Linked DNA regions of Elephas maximus indicus. The protein of the gene in region 1 interacts with the protein of each later gene in a pairwise test. Links are inferred from orthologs where the notes say so. Each region holds a gene or a part of one and is shown in the gene's direction. Other genes may lie near its edges.

Region 1 (6,423 bases):
ATCGTGTGATCTCTGGCATTGCTTCTATCACCAAGCCCATATTTTCCAACTACTGATCCTTCTTCTTTGTTTCCAACTTTTGCATTCCAATCACCAGTAATTATCGGTGCATCCAGATTGCATATTCCATCAATTTCAGACTGCAGAAGTTGGTTAAAATCTTCAATTTCTTCATCTTTGGCCTTAGTGGTTTGTGTAAATTTGAATAATAGTGGTATTAACTGGTCTTCCTTGAAGGTGTATGGGTACAATCTTATCAATGACACTGTTGTACTTCAGGATAGATCTTGAAATGTTCTTTTTGACAATGAATGCAATGCCATTCCTCTTCAAGTTGTCATTCCTGGCATAGTAGACCATATGATTGTCTGATTCAGAATGACCAATACCAGTTCATTTCAGCTCACTAATGTCTAGGATATTGATGTTTATGTGTTCCATTTCATTTTTGACGATTTCAAATTTTCCTAGGTTCATACTTCTTACATTCCAGGTGCCACATCAGCAAATGAAGGTCCCGAAAGCTTGACTCCATCCACGTCATTAAGGTCGACTCTACTTTGAGGTGGCAGCTCTTCCCCAGTCCCGTTTTAAGTGCCTTCCAACCTGATGGGCTCATCTTCCAGCACTATATCAGACAATGTTCCGCTGCTATTCATAAGGTTTTCACCGGCTAATTCTTTTCAGAAGTAGATCATTGGGTCCTTCTTCCTAGTCTGTCCTAGCCTGGAAGCTCAACTGAAATCTGTCTGCCATAGATGACCCTGCTGGTATTTCAATACCTATGGCATAGCTTCCAGCACCATGGCAATACACAAACCTGCACAGTACAACAAACTGACAGACGTGTGTGGGTACCACAAATGGGTGATTTTAACAAAGAGAAATTTATTCTCTCACAATCTAGAAGGCTAGAAGTCCAAATTCAGGATGCCAGCTCCAAGGGAAGGCTTTCTCTCTGTTGACTCTGAGGGAAGGTCATTGTCATCAATCTTCCCTGGTCAAGGAGCTGCTCAGCACAGGGACCCCGGGTCCAAAGGATACACTATTCTCCTGGCTCTTCCTTTTTGGTGGTATGAGGTCCCCTGTCTCTCTGCTTGCTTCTCTCTTTATAACTCAAAAGAGATTGACTTAAGACACAACCTAGATTGAGTCCTGCCTCATTAACATAACTGCCTCTAATCCTGCCTCATTAACATCAAAAAGGTAGGATTTACAACACATAGGAAAATCACATCAGATGACAAAATGGTGGACAATCACATAATACTGAGAATCACGGACTAGCCAAGTTGACACACATTTTCTGGGGGAACACAATTCAATCCATAACAGAATACAACCAAGGTGATGAGATCTACGTTATTATGTGTATGTGATTACATTATGTAAGATCATAATGCCTGTCTTGTGAGCACCTTGTTGTGAGCTTCCTATGGAGGGACCACATGGCAAGGAACTGAGGGCAGCCTCTGGCCAACAATCAGCAAGGAACTGAGGCCCTCGGTCCGACAACCTGCAAGGGACTGAATCATGCCAACATCCACATGTGCATGAAAGTGGATTCTTCTGCAGCTGAACCTCAGATGATACACCCTCCTCAGAACCCAGCAGAGAACCCAGTCTAGCTGTGTTGGGACTCCTGAACCACAGAAACTGTGAGATAATAAATGTGGGTTATTTTAAGCTATTAAGTTTGTGGTATTTTTTTGAATAGCAATAGAACCCAAACATAAGACCCATGTAGAATTCTACACAGATGTGAGAACATTATATATTCATAGGAAAAGAGCTCCAAGTTATATTACTTTTAGGAAAAACTAAACATGTAGAACAGTGGGGAGAGTGTGATAAAATTTGTATTTTAAAAATTTATACATGTATATATATTCATATATATAGAGAGAGGAAGAGAGGGAGACAGGTCTTGGCTGAAAGCAGAGAATATCAAAAAGATATTTACCTGTGTTTTATTGACTATGCAAAGGCATTGTACTGTATGGATCATAACAAATTATCAATAACATTGTGAAGAACAGGAATTCCAGAATGCAACATGACCAAGAGGCAGTCTTTCGAACAGAACAAGGAGATACTGCGTGGTTTAAAATCTGGAAAGGTGTATGTCAAGGTTGTACCTTTTCACTGTACTTTTTCAATCTGTACGTTAAGCAAATAATCTGAGAAGCTGGACTGTATGAAGAAGAATATGGCATCAGGATTGATGGACAACTCATTAACAACCTGTGACATACAGATGATACAACCTTGCTTGCTGAAAGCGAAGAGGACTTGAAGCGTTTACTGATGAAGATCAATGACTGCTGTAGCCATCAGTAGGGATTGCACCTATACAGAAAGAAAACAAAAATCCTCACAACTGGACCAACAGGAACATTACGATAAACAGAGAAAAGATTGAGTCATCAAGGATTTCATTTTACTTGGATACGCAATCAGCACCCATGGAAGCAGCAGTGAAGAAATCAAACAATGTATTGTATCAGACAAATTGGCTGTAAAAGACCTCTTTAAGGTGTTGAAAAGCAAAGATGTTACTTTGAGGACTAAGGTGTGTCTGACTCAAGCCATAATATTTTCAATCCAATCATATGCATGTGAAAGCTGGACAAAGAAGAAAGACCAAAGAAGAATTGATGCCTTTGAATTATGGTGTTGGTGGAGAATATCGAATATACTATGGACAGCTAGAAGAATGAACGAGTCTGTCTTGGAAGAAATATAGCCAGAATGCTCCTTAGAAGCAAGGATGGCAAGACTTCGTCTCATGTACTTTGAACGTGTTATCGGGTGTGACCAGTCCCTAGAGATGGACATCATGGTTGGTAAGGTAGAGCGTCAGCAAAGAAGAGGAAGACCGTCGATGAGGGTGACGGACACAGTGGCAGCAACAACGGTCTCAAACACAGCAATGATTGTGAGGATGGCACAGGACCAGGCAGGGTTTCGTTCTGTTGTGCATAGGATCGCTATGAGTCAGAAATGGCTCAATGGCACCTAACAACAACATAGAGAGAGACAGAGACAGAGTAAGGTAGGGGAGGGGGGGAGATAGCTTTTCCCTGAGAGAATTTGGTGCTGGCACACAAGTGTAGTATAAGATTCAATCTTTATTTTCCCTAGAGATTCCTTAAATAGAGTTTAAGCTTTTCAGGTCTCTTCAGTTATAATGTCCCAATTTTATACAGAGGCCCTATTGATGTGATGGTAAGATGTGGGAGGAGGGGAAGTAGCATATGATTATATGTTTAGGTCTCATTCTTTTAGTGGATCTGTGCCCCTGGGCTGTGACCTTCACAAGTGCTTCTCAGATTTTTTTTTTCACTCTGTAGGTGAGACAGGAAGGCTAGAGGGGGCTGGAGTTGGGTATTTCCTTTCCCGCATGTGGAAACCTATGTGGGGCTGGAGTTGGGTATTTCCCTTCCCCCATGTAGAAAGTTAGAGGGGGCTGGAGTTGGGTATTTCCTTTCCCCCATGTGGAAACCTATACGGGGCTGGAGTTGGGTATTTCCCTTCCCCCATGTGGAAAGTTAGAGGGGGCTGGAGTTGGGTATTTCCTTTCCCCCATGTGGAAACCTACAGGGGGCTGGAGTTGGGTATTTCTCTTCCCCCACGTGGAAAGTTAGAGGGGGCTGGAGTTGGTTATTTCCCTTCCCCCATGTGGAAAGTTAGAGGGGGCTGGAGTTGGATATTTCCCTTCCCCCATGTGGAAACCTAGAGGGGGCTGGAGTTGGGTATTTTCCTTCCCCCATGTGGAAACCCAGAGGGGGCTGGAGTTGGGTATTTCCCTTCCCCCATGCTGAAAGTTAGAGAGGGCTAGAGTTGGGTATTTCCTTTCCCGAATATGGAAAGTTAGAGGGGGCTGGAGTTGGACATTCCCCCATGTTGATTAGGCTCTGGCAAAATAGGTTTCCTTGAGGGCAGACCATTTGTTAAGGAGAACAGAATACTCTGGCCATTTTTCAAAATGGTTACTTTTCCCCTCCCCTTGCCGGAAGTTCAACGGAATTTCTCTCTGAGTTTCACAGTGAGAACCTGATGGGACTCCTGGAGGTACAACTTAGGAATGTATGGGGTCCTGCTAAAGCTGGGCCTCCAGGAGCTTTTATTCATTTATTTATTTTAACCTCTCAAGCTTGTCCACAGTCTCCAGCAATTAGTCAATTGCCCATTACGAGTTCCTACCTGATGCTAGGTAATGACCCACGTGCAGTCCAGCATGGTCACTGGGTGTGGTTCAGAAACCAAGAACAACAAGCCCAAGAAACTATCCTTGTGCCTGACCAGGGAAGGGGCCAACCCATGTCCAACACAATCCTTGGCCTAGAATACAAAGAATTGCTGCTCTCTCCCAAGCAGAAGGACCATGTGGATAATGGACACACTAAGCCAGGACTGGAGAGAGATGCTTTGTCTATGACAAATGGTCCAGAGCACGGGGCCAAGAGGTCAGGCCCTTGTCACAGCCTGTCTCTCACAAATTGTGGCCCTGGGCAGGACACCCAACACCTCTACAACCCTGCCTTCACAGGGGGCACAGGAAGGCTACACTAGAGGTGTTTGAGGCAGTGGGAAATCACTTAGCAGAGTTTTGGCTTCATACAATCGCCAGTGATTGTCTGAGTGCTTCAATTGCTGTTAACCAGACCATGCTCCCAGCAAATAAAGGAGGACTCAGGACATTCCCACCCTCCTGACACCCACTGCCCTCATGGGCCCCATGGACCCAGGCTGGGATCATAGCCCGGACTCCTACTCCTGTGGGACCACAGATTGCGATGGGACACTGAGGCCCAGGCCACCTATGAAGATTTACAGGCTGGACAACACCATGGCAAACGAACATTCCTAATGAGGTCTTGGAACTGGCTGGGACACCAACCAGGAAGGGGAAGGGCATCATGGAGCCTCTGGTGGGACAACACACAACACGGAGGAATATATAAAAGTCCCGGCAGCTCCGAGAACCTCACTCACTCACTCACTCCTCCTCCCACAACCTCCCCCCACCACCATGGCTGCTTCCACCACGTCTGTCTGCTCTAGCGACCTGAACTATGGCAGTGGCGTCTGCCTGCCTGGTTCCTGTGAGTCTTGCACTGGCCCCTCCTGGGAGGTGGATGACTACCCCGAGAGCTGCTGTGAGCCCCCCTGCTGCACCTCCACCTGCTGCCAGTCCACATGCTGTGCCCCCACCTGCTGTGCCCCAGCCCCCTGCCTGACCCTCGTCTGCACTCCTGTGAGCTGTGTGTCCAGCCCCTGCAGCCAGGCAGCCTGTGGGTCCAATCCCTGCCAATCAGTCTGCACTAGCTCCTGTGAATCCTCCTGCTGCCAACAGTCTAGCTGCCAGCCTGCATGCTGCATACCCTCCCCCTGCCAGCAGGCCTGCCGCATGTCTGTCTGCAGAAAGCCTATCTGCTGTGTGCCTGTCTGCTGCAAGCCTGTCTGCTCCAAGCCGGTCTGCTATGAGACCTCCCCCTGCCCGATTCCCTCGTGCTGCCAGCAGTCTAGCTGCCAGTCTGCATGCTGCACACCCTCCCCCTGCCAGCAGGCCTGCTGCGTGCCTGCCTGCTGCAAGCCCATCTGCTGTGTGCCCGTGTGCTGTGAGGCCACCCCCTGCCCAGCCTCCGCATACTGCCAGCCCTCTCTCTGCGCCTCCTCCTGCTGCAGACCCTCCTCCAGTGTGTCCCTCATCTGCCACCGCTTGTGCAAGCCAGCCTGCCGTGTGCCTACCTCCTCCTGCTGTGCCCCCACCTCCTCCTGTGTGTCCCTGCTCTGCCACCCTGTGTGCCCCCGCCCAGCCTGCTGTGGCCCCTCAACTGGCCAGAAGTCCTCCTGCTGACCAGACACTCCCCCCAGGGCCAGCTGGACTCCAGGCCCCACTGTGGCTATGCTCCTCACATCCACTCAGTCCTCGTCCTGATCTTGTTAGACAGCTGCCCTTGCCTGAGGATGGGACGCCTCCACATCTCCACTGTCCCTTTGTGACCTTTGCCCCCTGGCTCCCCAGGAACCCCCCAGCTGGCCTCAACTTCCAACCTGTCAGCACCTCTTAGGGCACCTGAATAAATTCACCTTGATCCCTTGATCTTTCCTGTCGTCAGACTCTCATGGTGGGGACACAGGGTTTTGACCAGACATTGGTCTTCCCCAGCCACAAACATTCTGTGAATGAGTGACTTACCTCAGAAATCACAGGGCACAGGCCTGAGTCCTCTGGGAGGGTACCTGGGACTCGGCACCACCCAGGAAGGCTCAGGTTCTGCTTGGCCCCCTGCCCAGCGCTCCCCCAAGCTGGTTGTTCACAGACCCGCCATGGTCCAGGAGGCTCTCCAGACCCCTGTAGAGCCCCTTTCCATCCACTGTCCTACCAGGAAAACCCACCCCTTCAGAAGTGCACTG
Region 2 (7,275 bases), on another chromosome or scaffold:
CAAAAAACAAGTCTCCAGGAATTGATGGAATTTGAATTGATATGTTTCAACAAACGGATGCAGCACTGGAGGTGCTCACTCGTCTATGCCAAGAGATTTGGAAGGCAGCTACCTGGCCAACCGCCTGGAAGAGGTCCACATCTGTGCCCATTCCAAAGAAACATGATGCAACAAAATGCAGAAATTATTGAACGATATCATTAATATCATAAACAAGTAAAATTTTGCTGAAAATAATTTAAATGCAGTTGCAGCAGTACATTGACAGGGGGCTGCCAGAAATTCAAGCTGGATTCAGAAGAGAAGGCGGAACCAGGGATATCGTTGCTGATGTCAGATGGATCTTGGCTGAAAGTGGAGAATACAAACAGATGTTTACCTGTGTTTTACTGACTATGCAAAGGTGTTCGACTGTGTGGATCATGACAAATTATGGATAACATTGTGAAGAATGGGAATTCCAGAACACTTAATTGTGCTCATGAGAAACTGTACATAGACCAAGAGGCAGTCATTTGAACAGAATAAGGAGATACTGTTTGGTTTAAAATCAGGAAAGTTGTGCATCAAAGTTGTATTCTTTCACCATACCTATTCAATCTATATGCTGAGCAAATAATCCAAGAAGCTGGACTATGTAAAAAAGAGCTCGGCATTAGGATTGGAGGAAGACTTACTAACAACCTTTGTTACACAGAGGACACAACCTTCCTTGCTGAAAGTGAAGAGGACTTGAAGCACTTACTGATGAAGATCAAAGACCACAGCCTTCAGTATGGATTACACCTCAACATAAAGAAAACAAAAATCCTCACAACTGGACCAATGAGCAACATCATGATAAACAGAAAATATTGAAGTTGTCAAGGATTTCATCTTACTTGGATCTGCAATCAACACCCATGGAAGCAGCAGTCAAGAAATCAAGACACGTTGTATTAGGCAAATCTGCAGCAAAAGACCTCTTTAAAGTGTTGAAAAGCAAAGATTTCACCTTGAAGACTAAGGTTCGCCTGACCCAAGCCATGGTGTTTTCAATCACCTCATGTGCATGTGAAAGCTGGACAATGAATGAGGAAGATCAAAGAAGAATTGACACCTTTGAATTGTGGTGTTGGCAAAGAATATTGAACATACCATGGACTGCCAAAAGAATGAACAGATCTGTCGTGGAAGAAGTGCAACCAGAATGTTCCTTAGAAGCAAGGATGGTGAAACTATGTCTCACATACTTTGGACATGTTATCAGGAGAGACGAGTCCCTGGAAAAGGATATCATGCTTCGTAAAGTGGTAAAGTAGGTCAGTGAAAAAGAGGAAGACCCTCAACAAGATGGATTGACACGGTGGCTGCAATAATGGGCTCAAGCATAACAAGGATTGTGAGGATGGCTAAGGATCGGGCAGTGTTTTGCTCTGTTGTACATAGGGTCACTCTGAGTCAGAATCGACTCAACGGCACCTAACCACAACAACAACAATATAAAGGGATGAAACACTGACACATGCTACAACATGGATGAACCTAGAAAACTGAGGGAAAAAAGCCAGTCACAAAAGAATACCTATCGTAGAATCCTATTTATATTAAATTTCTAAAAAGGCAAATCTCTGGAGACAGAAAGTAAAGCAGTGGTTGCCTGAGCATTGGGACAGGGGAGGTTGGGGAGAAATGGGCAGTGATTGATAATGGGTTGTTGTTGTTGTTGTTAGGTGCCCTTGAGTCACTTCTGACTCATAGCAACCCTGTGTACAACATAACAAAACAATACATGTTTGATCAATTTCAGACTACAGAAGTCTGTAAAAAAAAAACTTCCATTTCTTCATCTTTGGCCTCAGTGGTTGAGGCATAGATTTTAATAATAGTCATATTAACCAGTCTTCTTTGTAGGCATATGGATATTGTCATGGATTGAATTGTGTCCCCCAAAAATGTCTGTCAACTTGGCTAGGTCATGATTCCCTTGTATGATTATCTACCATTTTATCTTCCGATGTGGTTTCCCTAGGTGTTGTAAATCTTATCACTATGATGTAATAAGATGGATTATTGGCAGTTACATAGATGGGGTCTACAAGATTAGATAGTGTTTTAAGCCAATCTCTTTTGAGATATAAAGGAGAGAAGTGAGCAAAGAGATGGGGGACCTCATACCACCAAGAAAGCAGCACCGGGAGCAGAGCGCATCCTTTGGACCTGAGGTTACTGCGCTGAGATTCTCCCAGACCAAAGGAAGATTGATGACAAGGATCTTCCTCTAGAATCAACAGAGAGAAAAAGCCTTCCACTAGAGCTGACGCCTTGAATTTGAACTTGTAGCCTACTAGACACTGAGAGGATAAATTTCTTTGTTTAACCATCCCCTTGTGGTGTTTCTGTTATAGCAGCGCCGGATGGCTGGGAGAGATATCACGCCGTCACTGGCAGTGTTGTACTTCAGCATAGCTCTTGAAATGTTCTTTCTGATGATAAATGCAGCACCATTCCTCTTCACCTTGTCCTTCCTGGGACAGTAGACCATATGACCGTCCAATTCAGAGTGGCCGGTGTCAGTCCGGCTCAGCTTCCTAATGCCCAGGGTATCCGTGTTTACAAGCGCCGTTTCCTTTTTGACCAATTTTCCTAGATTCACACTTCGAACACTGCACCTTTAGATTATGAATGGATGTTTGCAGCTATTTCTTCTCATTTTGAGTCGTGCCGCATCAGCAAATGAAGGTCCCCAAAGCTTGACTCCATTTACACCATTAAGGTCGACTCTACTTCGAGGAGGCAGCTCTTCCCCAGCCGTCTTCTGAGTGCCTTCCAACCTGAGGGGCTCAGCTTCCAGCACTATATCAGACCATGTTCCGCTGCTATTCATAAGGTTTTCACTGGCCAATGCTTTTCAGAAGTAGACCACCAGGTCCTTCGTCCTAGTCTGTCTTCGCCTGGAAGTTCAGCCGAAATCTGTCTGCCGTGGGTGACCCTGCTGGTGTCTGAATACCGGTGGCATAGCTTCCAGCATCACAGCAACATGCAAGCCCCCACAGTACAACAAACTGACAGACACGTGCGGGATTCCTTTATATGGCTGAACAATATTCCATTGTACGGATGGACCATGTTGTGTTTATCCATTCATCAGTTAGTGGGCAATTGGGAGGTTTCTACTTTTGGCTACTATGAAAAATGCCGCTATGACCATTCTTGTACATGTTTTTGTGCGGACATGTATTTTTCTTCTCTCTTGGGTAGATACCTAGAAGTGGAATTGTTGGCTCCAACGGTAATTCTGTTTAACCATTGAGGAACTGCCAAAACTGTTTACACAGCAGCTAAACCATTTTACATTTCTTCAGCAATGTACTAGGGTTCCAATTATTCCACATCTCTGCCAACACTTGTTTGTTTCTGGGGTTTTCTTTGCTATTTTTTGTTTGTTTGCTTTCTTATTCTAGCCATTCTACGGATGTGATGTGGTATTTCATTGTGGTTTGATTTGCATTTCCCTGATGCCTTTTAGCCATCTATCTATCCTATTTGGAGAAATGTCTATTCAAATCATTTGCCCATTTTTTAATTGGGTTTTCTTTTTATTATCGAGTTGTAAGAATTCTTTATGTATTCTGGATATGAGTCCCTTATCAGATATAACTTGCAAATATTTTCTCTCACTCTGTAGGTTGTGTTTTCACTTTCCTAATGATGTTCCGGAAACCCTGGTGGTGTAGTGGTTAAGTGCTATGGCTGCTAACCTAAAGGTTGGCAGTCCAAATTCGCCAGGCGCTCCTTGGAAACTCTATGGGGGCAGTTCTACTCTGTCCTATAAGGTCGCTATGAGTCGGAATCAACTCGACGGCACGGGTTTTGGTAATGATGTTCTTATTTTATTTTATTGTGTTGAAAACAATACATAACAAAACATTCGCCCTCACAACCATTTCTACATGTACAATTTAGTAACATTGATTACATTCTCCAAGTTGTGCAGCCATTCTCGCTATCCTTTTCCAACTTGATGCTCCTCTTTTTTTTTTTTTTTTAGCGTTCTTTTTAAAATTGTGCTTTAAAAACAAATCCCCAAATTATAAGTGTCACAGCGCCAGTCCCCGCACACGTGGGCGCTGCGCCGCGGCAGGCTGTCGCCAGGGGGCGCGGCTGGCGCGCACCGCGCCCAAGCAACACTGCGCCTGCTCAGGGCCAGAGCGCGAGCCCGAGCGCGTCCCGCAGTCGAGCGCGCGCCTGCGTGTGCGCCTGCGCGGAGCGAGGCCGCGCCTCCCGCCGGGTCAGCTCGGCCGCCGGCCATGGGGGAGGCCGAGGTGGGCGGCGGCGGCTCCGCGGGCGACAAGGGCCCGGGAGAGGCGGCCACCAGCCCGGCAGAGGAGACAGTGGTGTGGAGTCCCGAAGTGGAGGTGTGCCTCTTCCACGCCATGCTGGGCCACAAGCCCGTTGGTGAGCGCGCCGGAGGCCGCGGACTCGCGTGGGGGCGGGGCGGCAGGGTAACCGTCGGGGGCCGGAGGGCGGGGCGGCGGCGGACCCACCCCACCGCGCGGACCCCCCCCACCGCGCGGACCCCCCCCCACCGCGCGGACCCTCCAAACCGCGTGAGCCCCCTCCCCACTGCACGGACCCCCCCAAACCGCGCGGACCCTTCCACCTAGCGGGCCCTCTCCACCCGGCCCCTCCCGCTCATCCCTGCCCTTTGCCACTGTGGATCCCCCCTTGTACCCCCCCACGGACCCCTTCCCCTCCTGTTCCCCCCATCTCTGTCCCCCCACCAGCCGTTGCTGTCCCAACCACAGACACCTGCTGGCTTCTCCTGTCCAGCCCGTGCCCCTTTCTTCTGCCCCCTTACCTGCTTCCCAACGCCTCTGGCAGGTGTGAACCGGCACTTCCACATGATTTGCATCCGGGACAAGTTCAGCCAGAACATAGGGCGGCAAGTCCCATCCAAGGTTATCTGGGACCACCTGAGCACTATGTATGACATGCAGGCACTGGTGAGCTTTGACCCCTGATCGTCCTGTGTATAGAATCAGAGCTCTTCATCCCAGACTGAGCTCAGACTTCCTTGCATGGGTAGCTGAGGACCCCCACAGGACAGGCCCGGCCCTCATGCAGTGGACAACAGGGCATTAAACAAGGGCTCTCTCGCAATAGGGCACCCAGTTTGTGGAAACCAAGCTTGCTGGTGGAAGCCAGTCCCTGGTGGGCCCTGGGGTGGGTCTTCCAGCACCAGGCACTCAAGTGCAGGCAGCGTAGCTACCTGGACTGCTAGCTGAGCTCAGGGAGAGGCAGCAGCATCGCTAGTCTGTGGGAAGTCCCGGCGTGCTGCAGGCAGGAAGGGGACCTCTGTGGCTTCTCATGGAGCCAGCAGAGCTCATAGCTGGCAGCCAAAGGGCGAGTGGGTTAACTAGGGAACCAGGACGGAGCTGCACTGGACAGGGCGGGGTTATCAGGTGACCAGGGGAGTGGGCACCTCTGCTGGTGCTGGGACCCACTGTGCCCCACGCACTGAGTTGGGTGCACCAGCCCCTGGCCAAGGCCTGGGCAGCACATCGGCGAGGCCGTGAACATATTGGCCTTTTTGGGTTCAGGTTCTGCTCTTCCACTCACTGCCGGTTGTCCTGGGCGAGTTCCCCTCTTCCTAGTTGTGAAGAAGGGAGGAAGATGGTAGCCATGCTGCTGTGGGCTGCTGTAGGCAGGGGTGTGAGTAGCCGGTCGTGGGCACAGGGGAAGCTTTAGTTGCTGTTACTGCAAGTGACTGAGCTTGGGCACTGGTCACTTATTCCTTGTTACTACTCTCTGGGTCAGTGGCAGGCCACACCCTGCCACTTCCAAATGACCTAGGGTGCCGAGGGGTCAGCAGTGCCCAGATTCTCCCCACTCAGCAGAGCACGGACTCAGCCAGGCTATGAAGGCCCCGGGCCTGCCCTCTCGACACCTGCCCTGTAACACCGTAGGGTGACCTGTGAAAGGTAGTGGGGGCACCAAGCCCCAACCCTGGGCTAGCAATGGTAAAAGCTGGGGCTCAGAGAAGCCTATGCAGCACAGTCCCTGTCCATGGCCCGCTCCTGAGGTGGGCTTGGCTCAGGATCACAGTCATGTGAAGTCAGGCCCGAGGCAGCCAGGCTGTAGAAACCGCCCCTGTGAGCTCAGGGGGATAGGGAGTGCCAGCCCCTCCCCTCCCTGCCTTATTCCTGTAATGGCTCCTTACGTCACTGGGGGAGGGAGACGTGGGGATGGTATCTGTTCTAGAACAAGGACCACACAGGCTGACTCCAAACCACCAGGACCCATCCCGGCAGATGGATTTCAAGGGCCCGGAGTCTGTGGGGTTTTTGGAGTGCACAGGTTTTGATTGGCACATGTAAGCCTGCAGGTGTGGGCAGGCTACCTGGCGGAACACAGCCCACCTCCCAGGTCAGCCAGGACTGTCCCACCAGCCCATCTTTCCCTCCCGTCTGGTGGTCCTGCCTTTCCAGGGTCTCTGTCCCTTCTGGGACCCATGGCCTAGAGGACAGGAGAGCCCCGATCAGAGTCCATTGGTGAGTGTGCTCTGCTGCTTTGCCTCCTTACCCCTGAGAGGCTTCACCCAGCTTCCCTGAGTGTCGCCCACGTGGACAGAGGTGGCAGCACTGTGTTCTGTCAGCCCCTCCCTGCCCTCTGCCCTGCACTCTGAGTCGGCTGTGGTCTGGCCAGCTCTTGGGTGAGCAAGCTGTGAGCCAGTTGTGCAGCACCTACAGCGTTGCCTCTGCCCTGGCTCTGGGAGTGTGTTAGTGGGTAGGCTGGGCCGCTCTGGGTGCTACTTGTCCCCACCCCCAGGACACTGGGTGTCTACATTCATTCGTTGCTCCTGCATACACTTTTAATGGCTGAAATCACATTTTCTTCATTTCTTAAAAAAACATTACACCCTCTCTGACGTCAGCATGAGTCCGAGATCCTCCCCTTTCCAAATCCAGAGAGGAACTTCGTCCTTCCAGAGGAAATCATCCAGGAGGTCCGAGAAGGTAAGACGCAGGCCACTGAAGTGGGGTTTGGAGACTAGTAAAAGGCGGGAGCTGGCTGAGGGCGGCAGCACTGGGTGAGGCCACGTGCCAGGGAGGACCAGGGTCTGGGAGGGGAGTGAATGGGTACTTAGGGGCCCCGCTCAGCCTGGACTTGGGGGCCAGGGGACTTCCACAATAGGAGAGGGTTCTTTCCTTGAAAAGCGGTGCGGTAGAATCCGTGTGCCGTCTGCAGCGTTGGCTGGCCTTGCCCTGGCTCTGCTGCTCACCGGGTGAGCCT

What was found. The genes of interacting proteins can lie anywhere in the genome.
Region 2: the proteins of keratin-associated protein 10-12-like (region 1) and MRGBP interact in binary tests that used the Homo sapiens proteins (3 or more experiments, as listed by UniProt). The two-hybrid records come from large-scale screens. The link is inferred for Elephas maximus indicus from reciprocal best matches to the Homo sapiens genes KRTAP10-7 and MRGBP.

What each region holds. Positions count from the first base shown.
Region 1 is NC_064820.1:228,929,088-228,935,510, reverse strand, and holds keratin-associated protein 10-12-like, read left to right. Parts: upstream 1-5,035; coding exon 5,036-5,863; downstream 5,864-6,423. UniProt on the Homo sapiens protein: In the hair cortex, hair keratin intermediate filaments are embedded in an interfilamentous matrix, consisting of hair keratin-associated proteins (KRTAP), which are essential for the formation of a rigid and resistant hair shaft through their extensive disulfide bond cross-linking with abundant cysteine residues of hair keratins.
Region 2 is NC_064843.1:5,190,594-5,197,868, reverse strand, and holds the start of MRGBP (MRG/MORF4L-binding protein), read left to right. Parts: upstream 1-4,250; 5' UTR 4,251-4,289; coding exon 4,290-4,437; intron 4,438-4,863; coding exon 4,864-4,985; intron 4,986-6,916; coding exon 6,917-6,998; intron 6,999-7,275.